Linked DNA regions of Mus musculus. Each later gene encodes a partner of the first gene's protein in a complex. Links are inferred from orthologs where the notes say so. Each region holds a gene or a part of one and is shown in the gene's direction. Other genes may lie near its edges. The genes, in order: Irf2bp2, Zbtb16, Irf2 and Vgll4.

Evidence for each region.
Region 2: the proteins of Irf2bp2 (region 1) and Zbtb16 are in contact, whole or in part, in a crystal structure (PDB 8YTH), measured with the Homo sapiens proteins. The link is inferred for Mus musculus from reciprocal best matches to the Homo sapiens genes IRF2BP2 and ZBTB16. Residues at the interface, in NP_892017.2 of Homo sapiens: Thr516, His517, Phe518, Val519, Gln520, Pro522, Phe531, Leu557, Trp564, Ala565, Phe566, Met567, Glu570, Thr573, Ile574; in NP_001018011.1 of Homo sapiens: Arg285, Ser287, Val288, Ile289, Thr290, Ser291.
Region 3: the proteins of Irf2bp2 (region 1) and Irf2 are in contact, whole or in part, in a crystal structure (PDB 8YTG), measured with the Homo sapiens proteins. The link is inferred for Mus musculus from reciprocal best matches to the Homo sapiens genes IRF2BP2 and IRF2. Residues at the interface, in NP_892017.2 of Homo sapiens: His517, Phe518, Val519, Gln520, Pro522, Phe531, Leu557, Trp564, Ala565, Phe566, Met567, Glu570, Thr573, Ile574; in NP_002190.2 of Homo sapiens: Arg331, Ala332, Ser333, Val334, Ile335, Lys336.
Region 4: the proteins of Irf2bp2 (region 1) and Vgll4 are in contact, whole or in part, in a crystal structure (PDB 8YTF), measured with the Homo sapiens proteins. The link is inferred for Mus musculus from reciprocal best matches to the Homo sapiens genes IRF2BP2 and VGLL4. Residues at the interface, in NP_892017.2 of Homo sapiens: Thr516, His517, Phe518, Val519, Gln520, Pro522, Phe531, Leu557, Trp564, Ala565, Phe566, Met567, Glu570, Thr573, Ile574; in NP_055482.2 of Homo sapiens: Arg161, Ser163, Val164, Ile165, Thr166.

Annotation. Positions count from the first base shown.
Region 1 is NC_000074.6:126,590,947-126,595,721, reverse strand, and holds the start of Irf2bp2 (interferon regulatory factor 2-binding protein 2), read left to right. Parts: upstream 1-1,735; 5' UTR 1,736-2,285; coding exon 2,286-3,282; intron 3,283-3,893; coding exon 3,894-4,609; 3' UTR 4,610-4,775. UniProt on the Homo sapiens protein: Acts as a transcriptional corepressor in a IRF2-dependent manner; this repression is not mediated by histone deacetylase activities. Represses the NFAT1-dependent transactivation of NFAT-responsive promoters.
Region 2 is NC_000075.6:48,664,955-48,669,188, reverse strand, and holds part of Zbtb16 (zinc finger and BTB domain-containing protein 16), read left to right. Parts: intron 1-3,863; coding exon 3,864-4,034; intron 4,035-4,234. UniProt on the Homo sapiens protein: Acts as a transcriptional repressor. Transcriptional repression may be mediated through recruitment of histone deacetylases to target promoters. May play a role in myeloid maturation and in the development and/or maintenance of other differentiated tissues.
Region 3 is NC_000074.6:46,737,955-46,742,706, forward strand, and holds the start of Irf2 (interferon regulatory factor 2), read left to right. Parts: upstream 1-1,790; 5' UTR 1,791-1,982; intron 1,983-1,993; exon of another isoform or gene 1,994-2,277; intron 2,278-2,294; exon of another isoform or gene 2,295-2,313; coding exon of another isoform or gene 2,314-2,391; exon of another isoform or gene 2,392-3,501; intron 3,502-4,752. UniProt on the Homo sapiens protein: Specifically binds to the upstream regulatory region of type I IFN and IFN-inducible MHC class I genes (the interferon consensus sequence (ICS)) and represses those genes. Also acts as an activator for several genes including H4 and IL7.
Region 4 is NC_000072.6:114,918,726-114,923,455, reverse strand, and holds the start of Vgll4 (transcription cofactor vestigial-like protein 4), read left to right. Parts: upstream 1-1,634; 5' UTR 1,635-2,057; coding exon 2,058-2,139; intron 2,140-4,730. UniProt on the Homo sapiens protein: May act as a specific coactivator for the mammalian TEFs.

The DNA of each region.
Region 1 (4,775 bases):
CATCTCTCAGGGCACTGAGATGACTCTGCAGTCAGGGCAGCTTCATCTCCTCCACTCAGGTTCTGCACGGTCAAAATCACGTGCTCAGATGAGTGACACAGGGTCTTGGAAGAGAGTGACCAGACTGACAGGTCCTGGAGCAGGTGCCCAAACCAGCTGGCACCAGCTGCTTCTGGGAATGGATCCGGGTAGGCCCCATTCCAGGCTTGGAGAGGGTGAGGCAGGCTTGTGACTGGAAGGGGAGCTGGGGAGGCCCTTGACACAGATGTACCTTCTCTGGAAAGCCCCGAGAGAGACGTTCAAGGTTAGCCTGTGGACGCCCTTGGCATCTGGCGCTAAGCTTTCTGTGCCACCTCCAACAGGTTTATTCTTGTGCTCTAAACAGCTCTCTGGGCTGCTTCTCTGTGGGGCGTGTTTCCTCTTGTGGCTATTCTTTGAAGCAACCTGGCATTTTTCAATAGCAGCCACCGGAGAAAAAAAGGTCAGCAGATTTTTCCCCCCTCCCTTTCCACCTTCCAATCCAGTTGTAGGAAAGCTAATGTACTTAGTACCCTGCTCTTCCCACACTTAACCAGCCCATTCCAATCTTGGGGAGAGAGGTGGACCTGCGTTGTTCACCACAAAAGCAAAAGCGGCTCTTACTCAGAGTAGTAGGTCTCAAATCAGAGCCTGACTGACCGACCACTGACAGCACACACCAGTCCCTGCTCCCTACCAAAGTGTACAATTCGGTGTTCCGTCCACTCTGGGCAGCCCTCACTGCCCAGCGTGGAAGGGAACAACGAAGCGATGCTGCCAGGCGCGTCTGTGCCCACTGGGCTAAGCCGGATGGTACAACAGACAGCCAAGTCCACCCGCCAGCGCACGCCCTAGGCGCAAAGGGGACAGCGCGCGCCCAGAGTTGGCCACTCGAAGTTCGGCCCCGCGGAGGCGGTGGGGCAGGGCCTACTAGCCAGAGACCGGGGGCGGGTCCTGAGCCGTGACGCGGTGCGCTGCAGAGCCCAGATCCCTGGAATGTGCACTAGCTCGGCGCGGCCCCAGGGCCCGCGGCGCTGGGCACGTCTTATGTGGAGTTTGCGCAGTGGCAGCGTCCCTTGCCCACGTCACGCGCTCGCTGCACAGACCTACATAAGACGCTGGGCGGCGGCGCCTGAGGAGCCTCGGGCCTGTGCGTCCTCCTTTCAGTGCACGCGCAAAAGAGGCCGGGCCTGCCTGAGCACTAAGTTTTTGTAAAACTTAAAGGGGCAGCGGCAGTGTGTAGTTGCTTCCTCGACCAAAACAGGGCAGAGTGTTGATAGCGTGCGCGCGCCCAGCTGAAGCCAAGTGAGACGCTAACAAGGAAAAGTCCAAAGTGCGCCTCGCTATGCTCCAAATTCCATGCTCAGGAGGCTGCCAGTAACCAAGTGATAAAGTGGCATTGCATGTAAAATAAAACAGTTTGCACGATTTAATCGAAAGAACAGGGCCATGGGTTGGAGCATCCTGGCTGGGTAGGCGGGGTGACACGGGACTCTTGGGGACGCGAGCTGCACACCTGCGGCGCTAGGGCCGCGTGAACTGGTCTGCGCCTCAGTCCCGGCGCGCACGCGATCGAGAAACGGAAGAATCCAGGGTGGCGCGCGAGAGAGCGCAGAGGGAGGGAGGGAGGGAAGGAGGGCGGGCGCACGGGGCCGCGCGCGCCAGGGAGGGAGGGGGCCGCGCAGGCGCCGTGCAGAGCTGTCGAAGAATCAAGTCTGTAGAAGTGGAGCGGCCGCGGCGGTAGCAGCAGCAACAGCGGCGGCGCAGGAGCTGAGGCGCAGTGGGTGCTGTGCAGCGGCCGCGCCGGGGCCCGGGACCGAGCTGCACGCCGCCGCGCGCGGCATGCCCCGCCGCTCGGGCTGAGCTGCCCCGGCGGCTGCCCCGCGTCCCCCGTACCTCGCGCGGCTCTGCGCCCCGGGCGCCAGCGCGACCTGCTGCGCTCGCGGCCCGTCTTTGCCCCGGTCTGGAGGCCCCAGCCCGCGGCCCCGGCCGAGCCGCCGCCCCCGCGCGCGCCGCGCCGCCCCGCCGCCCGTGGGGACCTGCAGGCGCGCCCCGCCGCGCGCCCGCCGCCCCTCGTGCCCCGGGGGCGCCGCGCGGGCGCCGCGCCGGCCCGGGCTCTGCCGCCGCCGCCTCCTCGCCTGCGGCCGCCGCCGCCGCTAGTCGCGCAGACGCGGGCTTGGGCCGGCCGGCGCGCGCGCGCGGGATCCACGGGGGGCGGCGGCGTCCCCTCACCCGGCTCCTCCTGCGGCGCGGCGGGCTGTGCGGACATGGCCGCGGCGGTGGCGGTGGCGGCCGCCTCTCGGCGCCAGTCGTGCTATCTGTGTGACCTGCCCCGCATGCCCTGGGCCATGATCTGGGACTTCACGGAGCCCGTGTGCCGCGGCTGCGTCAACTACGAGGGAGCCGACCGCGTGGAGTTCGTCATCGAGACGGCCCGCCAGCTGAAGCGTGCTCACGGCTGCTTCCCGGAGGGCCGCTCCCCGACCGGTGCACAGCCCGCAGCCGCCAAGCCACCGCCACTGTCGGCCAAGGACCTACTGCTGCAGCCGCCGCCGCAGCTGGGCCACGCGGGCGCCGAGGCCGCGCGCGCTCAGGCTATGGAGCGCTACCCGCTGGCGCCGGATCGTGCCCCGCGCCTGGCCTCCGACTTCAGCACGCGTGCGGGTGCAGGCCTCCCACAGTCGGCCGCGCAGCAGTCCGCGCCGGCGAACGGCATCCTGGTGCCCAACGGGTTCTCCAAACTGGAGGAGCCGCCGGAGCTGAATCGCCAGAGCCCGAACCCTCGGCGTGCACACGCCGTTCCGCCCACTCTGGTGCCTCTGGTCAACGGTTCTGCCGCGCTGGGGTTGAGCGGCCGTGCTGCGGCCACACTGGCCGCGGTGAGCGGAACACCGGGCCTGGGAGCTCAGCCCGCCGAGTTGGGCACCCACAAACGCCCGGCGTCTGTGTCGAGCGCGGCGGCGGAGCACGAGGCGCGCGAGCCGAGCAAGGAGAAGGCGCAGCCCGCGCACCGGAGTCCGGCCGACAGCTTATCCAGCGCGGCCGGGGCCAGCGAGCTGAGCGCCGAGGGTGCAGGCAAAGGCCGCGCGCCCGGGGAGCAGGACTGGGCCAGCAGGCCTAAGACGGTGCGGGACACGCTCCTGGCGCTGCACCAGCACGGCCACTCGGGGCCCTTCGAGAGCAAGTTCAAGAAGGAGCCGGCTCTGACTGCAGCAGGCAGGTTGTTGGGTTTCGAGGCCAACGGGGCCAACGGGTCTAAAGCAGGTAGGGGCGACTGCGGGGCGAGGGGAGAAGGGATGGAGGGCGTGGGGTTAGAGGCAGCGTTTGAGCGCCCGCCCACCCGTGTGTGTGTGTGTGTGTGTGTGTGTGTGCGCGCGCGCGCGTGCGTGTGTGCGCGTGGGTGGGTGGGTGGGTGGGTGGGTGGTAGGGATCCATTCTTCCATGCACAGTTTTGCCTTAATCCAGAAACAACAAACAGCCAACTTCCTGGTCGGCCCGGGGCTGAACCAGAGCTTAGTGGCAACGTGGTCCCTCTGCTGAACCAGCACAACAGGGATGAGTCAGAACGGGTTGATAGGCAGCGACACGGGGTTTTCCTTTCCCAGCACATTCTTGGATGGAAGCGTGAGGGCAGCAGTCACCCTTTAACCTGTCTGCTAAATGCAGTCACATGAGCTGGTCTGGGGTTGGAGCCTTTCAGGCAGGATCCCATGACTTGGCTTACCTTGGAGGTGGTGTGCAGGCTCAGAGCCCTTTATTAGGGGAAATGTTTGAAGCTGCGTGCAGAACTATGTGTGTTTTTGAAGATGAGAGCTGTCTCTTTGGGGGTACGTTAAAGTTAATCTTCCTTTTCTTCCATACCTGTCTCTTTCCAGTTGCAAGGACAGCAAGGAAAAGGAAGCCTTCCCCAGAACCGGAAGGGGAAGTCGGGCCCCCTAAGATCAATGGTGAGACACAGCCTTGGCTGTCCACTTCCACAGAAGGGCTCAAGATCCCCATCACCCCTACATCCTCTTTTGTGTCTCCACCACCCCCTACTGCCTCTCCTCATTCCAACCGGACCACACCGCCTGAAGCGGCCCAGAATGGCCAGTCCCCAATGGCAGCCCTGATTTTAGTAGCAGACAATGCCGGGGGCAGTCACGCCTCAAAAGATGCCACCCAGGTTCACTCCACCACCAGGAGGAACAGCAGCAGCCCGCCCTCTCCCTCCTCTATGAACCAAAGAAGGCTTGGCCCCAGAGAGGTGGGGGGCCAGGCCACCGGCAGCACCGGAGGACTGGAGCCGGTGCACCCTGCCAGCCTCCCAGACTCCTCTCTGGCAGCCAGCGCCCCCCTGTGCTGCACCCTCTGCCACGAGCGGCTGGAGGATACTCACTTTGTGCAGTGCCCGTCTGTCCCTTCGCACAAGTTCTGTTTCCCTTGCTCCAGACAAAGCATTAAACAGCAGGGCGCTAGCGGAGAGGTCTATTGCCCAAGTGGAGAGAAGTGTCCTCTGGTGGGCTCCAATGTCCCCTGGGCCTTCATGCAAGGAGAGATTGCTACCATCCTCGCCGGAGATGTGAAAGTGAAGAAGGAGAGAGACTCGTGACTTTCTGCGTTCAGAAAAGCCCATGGTTACCCTTAACTCAAACTTGTTGAACTGTATATAGATCTCCATACATATATATATATATATAAATATAAATATATATATCCAAGACAAGGGAAATGTAGACTTCATAACATGGCTGTATAATTTTGATTTTTTTTGAATA
Region 2 (4,234 bases), on another chromosome or scaffold:
GATTTTATTTTCCCTTTTCCCTCCTAGAGCCCAGCTCCTGCACAAAACCTCTGGCCTCATCTTGTCTCCACCTTCCTCCTGTAGTAGCACAAAAGCCAGTCGTTCTCTCCCAGCTTCCAGCCACTTGAGACCATCCACGCCTTGGATGTGTATGGAGGTGCTGCCCACTAGGCTGTTGGACACGTGGCACCTACCTGTCTCCCGTCAGTTTGAGTTGCTATAACATGGAACCATAGACTGGATGATTCATATCTAGAAATGAATCTCTCCCGGTCCTGAAGGGGTGGGCAGTCTGAGATGGGGATTCCAGCACGGCTGGCTTCCTGGGATGCCCTTCTTCCTAGCTGTAGACTGCAGACTTCTGACTGTGTCTTGTGTTCTGACCTTGAAAAAGGATCTTTTCATCTTGTTGAGGAGGGCTCCACCCTTGTAATAAAAGACTTTGTTAAGCCTGAATCTGGTAATACCATCCCCTTGGGGGTAATGATTTTTAACATACTCAGTTTTGCAGTGGGGAAGGGGACATCTAGACCTTTACAGCACTCCAGCCCTGTGGCCCCGCTTTGCCTGTGGGATGCCTTCCATCTATGCTGTCTGTCCTCTGTGATCTGACCTCCCCAGTTTGCCAGGCTTGTCTCCATCCTCTGTGCTACCTCCTCTGAAATCCGTTTGCAGCTCACTCTTAGCCATTTTCTTTTACCCCTGGCTTCTCAGATGCACCCCGTTTCTCGGAGCTGAACTCAAAATCTCTGAAGCTCCGTTGGAGCCACCCTTTCTTATCTATGCTCTGGATGGTATTTCTTGACCAGGCTTGGTATCCAGCTTCTCTACTCCATCTCAGCCTCTTCTTGGTCACTTGGTAATGGAGTAAGACAGGTAAACGGACACAAAGCAAATTCAGGCCATTCTGTGAGATGCAGGTGGCCCAGGAGAGCAGCTTCTAAGCACTTTGGGAATAGCAAGGGGACAGGATGCCACTCAGTGTGCTCTGCTAGGTGGCATATTTCAGGGTATCCTCCTGGAGTGACATTCATTCACTGTCCAAGTCCATACTGGGGATCTCAGAGTAAGAATTAAAAATGTTGGCTGGTAGAAGCATGCCTGTTCAGGAAACAAGCTCGCTCGGTCTGAGCACCTAGCCTAGTTAGGCTTTCTGTGGGATAGAGTTCAGGGTAAAGCGGGAATAGGTGCTGAAAACCTATGACACTGGACTGTGGTGCTGTGTGCATTAGAACTTGTTTGTGGGTGGAATCTGCTCTTGCTTACCGGGCTGGACTGGACACTGCAGGACTCAGTGTCAGAGCTTGTAGCTGCTTCTGCCCAATGGACTACCTCTTTCGTGGATGTCCTCCTGCATCGGATGGGACTCTCTTACTGGCTCCTTCCTGTGGATCTTGGGTTTGGAAAGTTTAAGTTACCTGTGTCCAATGACCTGCCTCTGACTGTGCTTCCCGGGCCATTTCTAGAGTGATCCCAGCATGCTTTGGTGCTTGCTCCTTACTGTCTAGGGGAAGCCCAGATAGACAGATATGTCCCAAATGAGGTTCAGAAGCTAGGAAGTGACTCAGTTGGGTACACTGACTGATGAGCAAGCATGAGGACTTGCATTTGGATGCCCAGCACTCACATAACAGCCAGGCATGGCTTCCTGTGCCTGTAATTTCCCCCTGCAGGTAACAGGGACAAGCCAATCCCACAGCTCCCTGGCCAACTAGTCTACCCAAAACTACAAGATTCAGTGAAAGGTCCTGTCTTAATAAAATAGATGGAGAGCCATCCTGAGGTTAATAACCTCTGGCCTTCAAACACCCCATCACACACGTACACCCTACAAAGGTACATGGCACACATACTAAAGACTCTAAAATAAGTGGGATTCAGTTGGTGGTTTCTACAATCAAATGGACCAAGGCATTTTCTAGATTCCCAGCTCTACCTCTTTCTCACTGTGTGACCTTAGGCAAGTTATTTAATCTCTATTTTTCTCTTTGGAAGAAGGTGGCAACAATGCCTGCCCATTAGGGATGCGTGTTTTAAATGAGATGACAGCACAGATAAAGCACCTAGTGGAAATGGTGGTCTTTAGTGTCCTCTCCCTTCTGCTCTCAGACCTTTGGAGGACACCAGGGGTTCTTCCTCCGTGCAGCCCTCCCAGCTGTTGGTTGATGAAGCAAGCATGACCACAGGTAGCTAGAATGCAGTGTCTGCAAAGAGAGGAGCCAACGGGTAATTGTGTGGTGGTCCTTGCCACAGCTCCTTGCCCAACATTTTGGATTCCCTATCTCTAACAACATCAGCTACCAACGCAAGCCCATATGCTTTTCTCTCTGCCCATATTTGGGTGGCATGGCCTGTGCTCAGTCCCACAGTGCTGTCTCTTGTGCAAGTGACACCAGTGGAAAAGGGAGGTCCTTGCCTTTTATTCCAGACCAAGCTACATGTGGTCCTGAGGAGGCAAGACCCAGCCCTCCCATTTGCTGTAGCCATTGCTAGTCAGGGAGGCAGCAAAACTCTTCCCGTTCCTTTCTCTCTCACCTGGCCCGAAGAGCTTCCTTATGCCCCACTGAGCAGCCTGAGACTTTCAGTAGCCCAAATGCTCTGGTGCTCCTTCCTCTTTGCACTCAACTGTCAGACCTTGACCTGATCAGCTTTGAGTTGAGTCTCAACTGGAAGGCTGTGTCAGGAAGGTGTTGAGGGATGGAAGATAGCAGCCTGCCTTTGCGGGCTTCAGTAGGCACCTAGGCTACTGGGCCAGCCGAGCAAGTGACCAGGTAGAACTGAATGAATATTTCATGTGACTCACTAGTTGGAAATCCTTTAACAACTTCTTGTTGGTCTGAGGATGAACCCCTGGGCTTTGTAGTATGGCTGGTCAGGACCCACGTGATCTGGCTCCTGGCTCCTGGCTCTTCTTTCTTTGTATGTTCTCCCTGCTTCTAACGTTAGGACTGGTCACTGTGCTCAACCTGGTGTGGCTCTCCCTGAATGCTCACAGACTCGGTTCCAATCTCCATGCACTGGGTGCTGGGTGCTACTGAGATCAGAACAGGGACTAGTATACTCTTCCCCAGCCTTTCATCCCCAGAACCCCAGAGAGAGTCTCCCTTCTAGGAAGTATCACAGTACAATAGAATGAAATGACTCTCACCAATGCCTGAATTTTTTTTTAAGATGGGAGAGTGGTTATAAGAATATAGTCACCAGTGGTGGTGGTGGTGGTAGTGGCTCACACCTTTAATAGCAGCGCTCAGGATGCAGAAGCAGGCAGATCTTTGAGTTTAAGGCCAGCCCTTGTCTACAGATAGAGTTCTAGGACAGCCAGGACTACACAGAGAAATCCTGTCTAGGGGGTTGGGGTGGGGCACTGATCTAGAGCTAACCCAAGGGAATAAATGAATGAATCCTTTTACTGCTCCCAGTTGGGAATCCAATGGCAATTGGGGTGGGTTAATCTCCCCGTGTTTCTTTCTCCTTACATGAGGTTTGTGGTTTTCAGTGAGTTATGTCACAACAGTGGCCAGCTCGTGTGATCCAGGTTATTGTTGGTTCACACAGAATTTCCCGTCTCCCCACTGCTGCCTCAGACTCTGTAAGGTCCCCGAGTTCACTCCCTTAGTCACCTGCATTGCGTTCAAACCTCTTGCAGAGATGCATCTACGTTACCATCCACATGGTTTTGTATCTTTCTCCCCAAACCTTTAGGTCTCGTGGAGGTCGGGCACCCGTTGGAGCTACATTCAGGGTGCTCACGGACTGGACTGTGGGCTTTAGGATCTCTAGGGGGCAGCGCTGGGTCTTCAGGGGTGAAAATCTGGCCTTGGGTCTCTCCGTTGCTGAGGCTCTCCCGTTGCTGTCTCCCACAGGCACGGACATGGCTGTCTTCTGTCTGCTGTGTGGGAAACGCTTTCAGGCACAAAGCGCACTCCAGCAGCACATGGAGGTCCACGCAGGCGTGCGCAGCTATATTTGCAGTGAGTGCAACCGCACCTTCCCCAGCCACACGGCTCTCAAGCGCCACCTTCGCTCACATACAGGTAGGCTGGTCCAGGGGATGGGTGGGGAGCATCTCTGGACCTTATCTCTGGGCTTCACCTCCAAAAATATATGGTGTGTATGAGTGCAGGGGGAGGGTGTTTCAGGTTGCGGCATTCTCTGCTTGAAGTTAGACGCAGAAGGGCTTCCATAGAACATTTAAATGCTGACAGTTCTTCCAATCCACCACCCACCCCTCCAC
Region 3 (4,752 bases), about 80 Mb from region 1:
AAGGGGCCGCAGAGATGGGGGAAGGGGGCTTGCTGAGCAAGCAATGGGGAGTTGAGTTCAAATCCCCAAGACTCTTGAAAAGCCAGGTCTGGCTCTGTGCCCACCTCATTCCAGTGCTGTGGCTGGCAGAGACATGAAGATTGCTGGAGTGGCTGGCTACCAGCCTAGTTCTAGGTTCAGTGAGAAACCCTGTCTCCAATCAACACCGTGGAGAAGGGCTGAGCAGGACACTCTGGCCTCCGTGAGTACACATGCACACATGCACACATGTACCACACTCACCCATACACACACAAAGCCAGAAAATAATGACCTGTGGTTATTAGGCTTTTAACTTAGGTGCCTGGTGGGTAAAGACATACAACTACCATGCAGTGTGTATATCCCTGTGGTTACTGATATATGAAATATAAATGCAAGGAGTGTGCAGTGTTATTATGGGAGAAATAAAGGACACTGTGCAGGAAGGATCTATTTTGAGGCCACAAGACAGGGTCCTTAATCTCACTGCTCTCCTTCTACAAGGGCATGCATACTTTCCTTTATCCCTGTCTGTGGAATCCACTAATTCTATGGCAAAGAGGAGGTAGAATTATTTTTCAGATGTTTACACATAGATAGTGACAGTCTCCTAGGGTGGGATGCTTTCCCCAGTGGTTAGAGAAGGCAGGTGGTGGGCTGAGGAAACTGTAAGCCAGGCAAGAAGCAGGTGTAACTAAATGTAAGGGAATACTTTTAAAGTTAAGTGACCAAACAGCAAGAGGTTCCAAGCGAGCTGGCCTAGTAGAGCCCATAGGCCGCTGCACCTGTCATAGGTACTGGGCCCTCTTCTTGCATTCAGTATTGTCTCCACGGAACAGCACAGAGGACAGCAGCCAAGGATGTTCAACCAATAAGGACAGCCAAATTTAGGAGTTAACAGGCAGCGTTCCCTCCAGGTTCAGTCCCAATCAAGACAGTTTAAGTTCATGTAACTCAAACCCTTGCATTTTGCAGGAACTGGACCGGTTATGGCAAAGACATGAAGTAACTTTGGAGAGTGACTTTCTAGGGGAAGGCCTTCCTAACCATCCTAGCTTCCACACTGAGTGCCAGGCTGGCCCTTCAACCCCCCTCAAACCCCCCCCCCCCCCCCGTTCCCCAGTAGGAGATCCAATAAAGTAGGGGCACAAGTAATGCCGTCTTTTCAGCTGACTTCGTTCCTTACATTCCTTTGCAGCGGGCGACTTTCCAAGATGAGTTTGTATATGCAGCCTGTGCACAGCGGTTCTGAGCACTTAAGCCACAGGTCGGGAAGGGTCCCCAGGCTTCCGGGGCTCTCTCTGGTCCATCTCCACCCTTCAGGTAGGATGTAGAGTCAGGTCATCTCCTTCCTTCCCTACGGCCACCACCAGCTGGTGGCCAGCTCCCAAGCCAGCGCCCCGTCCACCACTTCTGGTGCCCCACAGTCCCAGCGTGGCCCCGGTGAAAAGCGCGCGCCCTTCGGCGCGATCCCCACGCTCACACGCGCTGCCGCTTGTTGCTCCCCGCAGCCGCGACGTGGGGAAGTGAAAATGAAATTGACTTTTCCGAGAAATGATGAAAGCCGTGCCGGCCGCCAATGAACAGCGGCGGCGAACTTCCGCACCTCCAGGCTGGCGGCTGGAGCCCTCCCTCTGCCTCCACCTCCGGGTTGCACAAGCTTGAAACAAACACTGGGGAGGAAGGGCGGGGAGGGAGGAGGGCGGAGGGGGAGCGAGGGAGGGAGCGGGGCCGGGAGAGGGCGGGGGTGGGGGGGATTTCCAGCCTCGGCTCCTCGCAGTTTCCTCTCCTTGTTTTGCTTTCGATCTGGACTGTTCTCAGGCAAGCCGGGGACTAACTTTTAGTTTTGCTCCTGCGATTATTCAACTGACGGGCTTTCATTTCCATTTTACACACCCTAACAACACTCACACCTTGCGGGATTGTATTGGTAGCGTGGAAAAAAAAAAGCACATTGAGAGGTAACATTTTTTTTTTTCAAATAATAGTTGTGGCTGTGCGTGTGTTTTCTCTCGAGGGCATGTTGACGGGGACAGGAGGAGCTATGTATGTATGTGCGTCCTGATGCTTTGACACGATGTTTTGCAGACGGAAAAATGCCGGGGTTCATAAATATTAATACCGATTTTTGGAGGAAGAGTCGGCGCAGTTATGGATCATCTGATTTTAGGGGAAGCAGGGGTCTGCTGCTGTTGCCGCTGGTACTGGGGCTGCTGAGGCTGCAAAGAGGAGGAGGTAGAGAGGGAGGAGGAGGAGGTTAGTGAAGGTTTAATTTCACTTTTGGATTTGCAGATGAGAAGAGGTGGCTCCATGGACACAGATCTGCTCTGTGTGATTCTGCGCTCCAGGTGTCGTGTGTTGTGGGTACAGGTCCGTTGGAGTCCGGCCTCATTTAAAATAAAATTGGTGTGTGTGTGTGTGTGTGTGTGTTGTATGTGTATGAGTGTTTACAGACACTGTCGCCACCAGGTCCGAGGAAGGGAACCGGGTTCTTCTCGGTGCCCAGCGGCCCTTCTTTCCCGGCGGTCTCTGGTGTAAATAGACTGGCACCCGCGGTCCCTAGATGCCCGTGCCCGGGCAGTGACCACTGTAAACTTGAAGGCTGCCCTAAGGCGGTCCCAGGATGCGCTCGCCCGCGGGGCTTGGGGTCGGGTGACCGGCGTCTGGTGCCAGTGGACACTCGGGCCGGGCGGGCTCCGCGCGCGGCTGGGCGCGGGCCTGGCCGGCGCGCCCGGCTTCCTGGGGACTGGGCCGCCGCCACACGCCAGGAACGTCGCGTCCTCCTCCCCGCCGGCCAGCGTCTGGCCTGGCCTCCGGGCTTTGTCACTGCACTTGTCCCAGCGCGTGAGGCGCCTCGGAGGCGCGTCCCCGGAGGGCTCCGCGCTCAGGGGTCACCCACCCCGGCGCGGCCTAGCTGCGAGTGCCTCCGGGTCCCCGCGGGCGCCCCCGGGGCCGGCCTGGCGCGCTGGGCCCCGACCCGCCTTGGCTACGGAACGGGCGAGGTGTGGGGGCGGGGAACCTCCGGGGACCGAGCGGCGCCCGGCGGGCTAGCATGGGGTTGGGGGTGAGGCTGACGAACGCTTGGGGTCTCCGGGACGTGGTGGGAATGAGTGCCCGCCCTGTGCCCTCCGACCCGCTCCGGGCGCCGGGTGACATTCGCCCGCCGGCCGAACATGGTTGGTGCAGAGCGGCAGCCACCACTTCCTCTCCGCCCCGCCGGCCCGGCTCTCTGGGCGAGCGATGCGGGCCGCGGCCAATCGCGGTGCCCAGCTAGTCCCTGTCGCTCGGCCTTGGGGGCCGGCTCCCCTGAGCGGCCCGGGAAGCCTTCGCGAGAGCTCAGGGCCCCGGCTCCCCGGACGCTGTCCGCTGGGCCCCGGCTCTCGGACCGTTTGCCACCCTCAGTCCCTCGCCCCTTAGGAGCAGGGAAGGGAAGGAGGCTAGTAGCCTCCGCCGCGAGCCAGGACTGTGCTCGGGCCCCAGGTGAGACGCCCGGATCAGTCGGTGGAGGCGAGATCCTTGGTGGTCGGATGTAAATAAGACCCCTGGGATTGGCAGGCCACCTTGTCACTCGTTTGCGAGCGGGTTTGCAGGTCCTTAAGCCCAGTGTGTTTGAAACTTGGGGGACATGTTTCTTGTCCCCTCCTCCCTCCCGCGTGGGCACTCCTTGTCCTTCCTTGGTTGTGTCTGTACCAGGGAGGCAAAGTAGTCCTGGGGTTAGCTTTCTGCCACTCGCCTCCCTGTGGCTGGGACTCCGGGCTGCTCTTGATGAATGGCTCCTGAGGGTGGAGGACAGTTACATTTCCTGTTGTGCATTTTCAGGAATCACGGGAGCTTGGGAGCTTGTTGTCATGCCTGAAGTCATTTATTAGTTTTGTTTGTTGGTTGTTTTTGTTTTTGTTTTTGTTTTTTTTTATATCGACTGACTGCAAGTAACATTTGAAGTTAGCAGCCTGCACTTAAGGTGCTTAAGGGCAGGTGCAGGGACCCGTTTGTTTAGCCTACTGTTTTTAGAAGGTGGTTGATTGCATGGTAGACAGATGCACACTGCTTGGTTAGGGCAGAGCCCTAGAGGTTGCCCTGTTTAACTTAATCACTCGCCCAAGTGCAGGAGTCTCTGATTTTTCTCAACTCTCATTCTTTTTTGGGGGGTGGGGTGGCGTGTGTCACAAAAATAGAAACCAATAAAAGCTTGGCATTTGGCTTTTCTAAGGCAGCTTCAAGCAAATGGAATATTTCAGGCTTGAGTTGGCATCTCTAAGGGGTAACGTTGGAGCATCTATTGATTGATGGGGCAAAGTCCGGAACGTCACTGTGATTGGTGAATGATTATAATTTATAGCCTAGCTTGTTGCGTAAGAAGTTAGATTTTGTCTTGTGCTTAGATCCAAGAGATCTTGCCTGTTATGATTTGTTACTGCTTCTTAAAATTAAACACTTACATATTTCATTCTCAATGAGTGGTCTTTTTTCCCCCCCTTGACCTGCAAAAGTTAGGAAGAGTTGCACGTGTTTCAGAATGACTTAACCTGTAAAAATGGCATCTTCATGAAACAAAAAAAGAGGACTTGTAATCAAATTGGAAGCAAATTGAGGCAAAAGAGAAATTGACATGAAGTCCTGAAGGCTCTAGGAACTATGGGCTCCTGAAATACTTTATTAAGTAAATATTTAATATACCAGAGCGAGTGAAAGCTGTTTAAATCTAAGAGTGGAAGACTTGAAACTTTGGAT
Region 4 (4,730 bases), on another chromosome or scaffold:
CACGGAAGCTGAGCATGTCTGCGTCTGACTTTGGGGGGAGTTTGTTCTTTCCGTTTACCACATAGGTCCCTGGGATTGAGCTTGGTGTCCCCTTGCCTACAAACCATCATATTTGATGTTGAGTCATGGAGGAGAAGTTGCTAAGCGTTTTGTGTGTACCCCTCCATCTGTAGGGGATTGCTTCAATCTTAAAATAAGTGACTGTAATGAAGTCTTGGGAAGGTGTGACAGAGCTGACAGTAGCCCAGAGAGGTCTTGGAACTTGTGGCAGTTCCTCTCCCTCGGATTCCGACTGCTAGAATTACAGGCTGGTGCCACTCTGCCAGGCTGCAGCAGAGTCACTTAGAGCAGGTCTTTTCCTTTCTTCCATGATGCTGATGAAGCTCAGCACTGCTCTGGATTTGAACTTGGAACATTTTTAAAGTTTCCATGATTGGTCACAACCTCCCAGATGAGTTTGGAAAACAGATTTTTAAAAAGTATTTTTTTTTTTTTGTACATTTTTTTTTTCCAATGTCTGTGTGTCATTGCATGCGGTACCCATGGAGGCCAGAAGAGGGAGTCAGGTTCCATGGAAATAGAGTTACAGGTGCTTATGAGTGCTGGGTACTGAACTCAAGTGTTCTGCAAAAGTGGCCAGTGCTCGGAACCACCTCTCCAGCCAGCTCCCCACTCCCCCGTTTGTGTGTGTGTGTGTGTGTGTTTGTGTGTGTGTGTGTGTGTGAGAGAGAGAGAGAGAGAGAGAGAGAGACAGAGACAGAGAGACAGAGAGACAGAGAGAGAGCGAGAGAGAGAGACAGACAGACACAGAGAGAGAGAGAGAGAGAGAGAGAGAGAGAGAGAGAGAGAGAGGGAGGGAGAGAGGGAGAGAGAGACCTGTAGGCCACTCACTTGTCCCCAGATCTGTTTACTCTTCTGAGGACGGATTTGCCTCTGGTGTCCTGTCCATCTGTACAGCTACAGAGTTTAGGAAGGAAGTTACATGTAACATTGACTTTGAAAATGTAAACACTCGGGCTGGAGAGATGGCTCAGCGGTTAAGAGCACTGATTGTTCTTCCAGAGGTCCTGAGTTCAAATCCCAGCAACCACATGGTGGCTCACAACCACCCATAATGAGACCTGAAGACAGCTACAATGTACTTACATATAATAAATAAATAAATAAAATCTTTAAAAAAAAAAAAAAAAAAAAAAAAAAAAGAAAATGTAAACACTCGCTGTGTCCCTGGACTTAATAAACCCATCTTACAAAGAAACAAAGAAACCTTGTACCAAACAGAGCACACCCCTGTGGAAGCCCTGGATTCCCAGCCCTTGCAACGAAGTCACGGAAAGTTAAATTCCCTGTACTTTGCTTCCACAGCAGATTTTCTTTTTTAAACTTTGTGCTTAGCCTCCCCCACAAACAAAACACCCACAAACTTGCTGGGGTTTACTTCCTCGGCCTCTGCCTCTGCCGGCCTCTGGCTCCGGGGAGGAAAGGCTCTCCTCACCCCCTGTGCCTCACTGCCCCCGCCTCTTTCTGCTTCCTGCTAATTCTGCAGCGCCTGGAGCCTGAGCCGAGGCTCCAGTGAGCATGCTCACAGCAGCCCTCTACCCCCTCCCAAAAGCAGAGGAAGCTGGTTTACATACGAGTCATACCAAGCATAGCCCGCATGTCAGTGCAGTCAGCTTGCAGCGGGCTGTGAGGGAGAGTGCCTTTGTCCTGAGAAATGTGCTTTGTGTTTTTCTTTTTTACTGCTTTCTTTTTAAACCCCCAAGACGGGCTCGAGAAGTCTTCTGAAATGATTTTTTAAAGCCGAATAGAAGACACAATCAGACACCTTCCACAAGCCCTTGACGGGTTTTGTTTGAGTCTGATTTTTGTGTGTGTGTGTGTGTGTGTATGATTTTTAAAAACCTTTTACATACTTTGTTTTGATCTCCTGAGGCTGGGCCTCTGTCTTCCTGAAGTTTTAGGAGAGCCTGGAGCTACTCAGCTAAGACTGAATTTTGAAACTTTCTCTTTGGGGGTGAAAGCAAAGAACTGTTTTTCTTTGCTAGCCGGACAGATAAATGCTGTTTATGAAGATGGACCTGTTGAACTACCAATACTTGGACAAGATGAACAACAATATCGGCGTTCTGTGCTATGAAGGTAGATGTTCTAGAATGTACTCTTTGCTTTTGTGATGGCCACTCCTCCTTTGGAGGGGGGCTTTGACTGGCTTATGAACATTTTCTTGTCTTTCTTGTGATGGTGGAGCGAGTGGAAAGAGAGTTGTGTACCATTTCAGGACAGTTCGCTTTTGCCCGGCAGGAGGGTGGCAGCCGGGGAGGGCTGGAGGAGACACGCTGTTAAAAGTTTACTTGTGATGTACTAGCAAGGTCTGACAAGATCGTTACATTATAAGTGATTTTTCTCTTTTGATTTTGTTGGCATTTTATGCATAAGTAGGAATTTACAGAAGTAAGGAGAAGTTAAACATGTGGGTGCTGGAGTAGAGGGGAGGGGCCTTGGGACTTATTTTTAAACGTATCACCGTGTACAGTGTTCGGTGTGGACCCTTGCTCTGAATTTCATGTGGTAGAGGAACAACAGCAGAAAGCCACAGTAAGTTGTTGTTTTCCTGAGCCATTGTCTCAGGCATCAAGGGGTTTTTTTCCTGTGAGGTTTGTGGGACTGGCAGGGCCTGGTGTCAGGGAGCCCAGGCCGGGCTCTTTGTCTGCCGCCCCATTTCCTGTGCAGAGAGCTGACAGTGAGACAGGCTCCCTCCAACCCCAGTCCCTGGCAATTACACCATAAGCAGCCGGAAGGCTGAAGAAAGTGGAAAATACCCCCACCCCTAGATTTGCCCATCACCTCCCCTTCCCCTGGGCACTCCCTGTAGTAAGTTAAGCTTCTCTGGAGAAAACCCCAATCCCATCTTTTGGAATCTTACCTACGTGCGATTTGAGACCAGGGTAATGGGGCTGAGTTGTGGCACTGGCCGGGCAGGGAGAGACCTGGGGCTGCCGGGAGTCTTTCCTGGTGTCTTCCTGCTGTGGGCAGCAGGCTCTGGGGTCTCTCACCTAGTAATCCTAGAGAGTTGTCTGCTTTGTCTTGAACAGAAGTTAAAAGAGGGAGCAGAGTTGGTTGTGTTCGTGTAAAAGTTTAAGATCTGCTTCTTAAGTTGTTGAAAACATACCCTTTCTCTCTCAAGCCTGCTTTAAAATTAACTTTATGGGGGAAAAATCTCATTTAAAGGGGTTTTGTTGTTGTTTTGCCTTTTTAAAAATAAGATATCACTTTACTTTGACAAGTTTCCTCTACATATAAAAAGCACCTCAGCTTCTCAGCTTCCAAACCCTCTCGTCTCAAAGGCTGGATTCTCCAGAAGCCACCAGACGCGATTTCTGCTGGGATTCATGCATTGTCTTTAAAAAAAAAAAAAAAAAAAGAAAAGAAAAAAAGAATCCACATCGAAAGCTCAAAACTTTTAATGTGATTTCTTTGTCAACAAATAATCTTTAAAAAACAAAACAGAGTGCCTGGCTGGCCCGGGTGAGGCACGTAGAGGCTGCTAGGACAGTGGTTCCTTCCTTGTGTCCCAGGAGGAAGTTCTGCAGCTCCCCCAGGTGGGTGTGTGGTTCCACAGAAAGCACAAATGCCAACAGTTAGCTGTCCTGTTTCCTTCGATGTTTGGAAGAGCAGACCTAGAAGCTGAGAGCCGAGTGGATGCGTGGGATCCCAGGCTATCATCTGTTTAGTTTAAACATCTGCTCCTGTTTTCCTTATTATGAAAGGTAATATTATTCTAACACCAAAATAAATACACAGGAAATTAAGAAAAGCGCAGCAAAACCTGAGTAGTGCTCAGAGCCAGTTGTTTATGTCCTCTGGTTTCCTCGCTGTAAACACCACACACATCTGGTCTCCACTGCGAGGGCTGTGTGGAAGGATGGGTACCAATCATACATGGCGTTCTCTCCTGTAAACAGTGCGAACACAGCTAAGCCTGGAGGTGCATGCCTTTAATCCCAGCCCAGAGGAGGCAGAGGCAGGTGGATCTCTATGAGTTCCAGGCTAGCCAGTCTACACTCCAGGCCAGTCTATAGTGAGGACAGCCAGGGCTCTATAGACAGCCTGTCTCAAACAAACAAACAAACAAACAAACAAACAAAGCAGAGGAGAAGTTGGTACAGTTTAAATGAGGTACGCTGCAATTGTTTGCATTGAACCTGCCAGCCCTCCAGCGTGCCAGGGCAGTGGTGTGGAACACGTGTGGACGGGGGTAGGTGGCATTTGATTTCATCTGGGGCACAGGCCAGTGTCCTGCCTGTCAGCAGGGGACAGACTCAGTGTTTGTCCCATTGGCTTTAGTAGTGAAGGTGTAGGTGGGAAGCTTCGCTTGTCCAGGTTGGTGCAACGACAACCCTGGATGTGTCAGGGGAACTGTGTCCTCACTGCCTTCCTTCTCTCAGCGGCCGCCACGAGGATGGGCCAGCGCCTACCCTGTAGCACACAAGAACCCCTGCATCTTACTTTTGAATCCACTCTGGGTTGCCTGACCTCCTTGAGGTCTTGGACCAGAGCCTACATTATCTTCTGCTAAATCCACTTTCTCCCACGGAGGTGCCCCATGTACCCAGACCTGTTCTAAATGGCTGGGGCTGCTCCCTGCATGGCAACCCCATCCTGATGCCTGCCTTCATAGTCACTTCGGAGGAGGATTGAAAGGCCAATAAAGGGAAGCAGATACCCCAGTG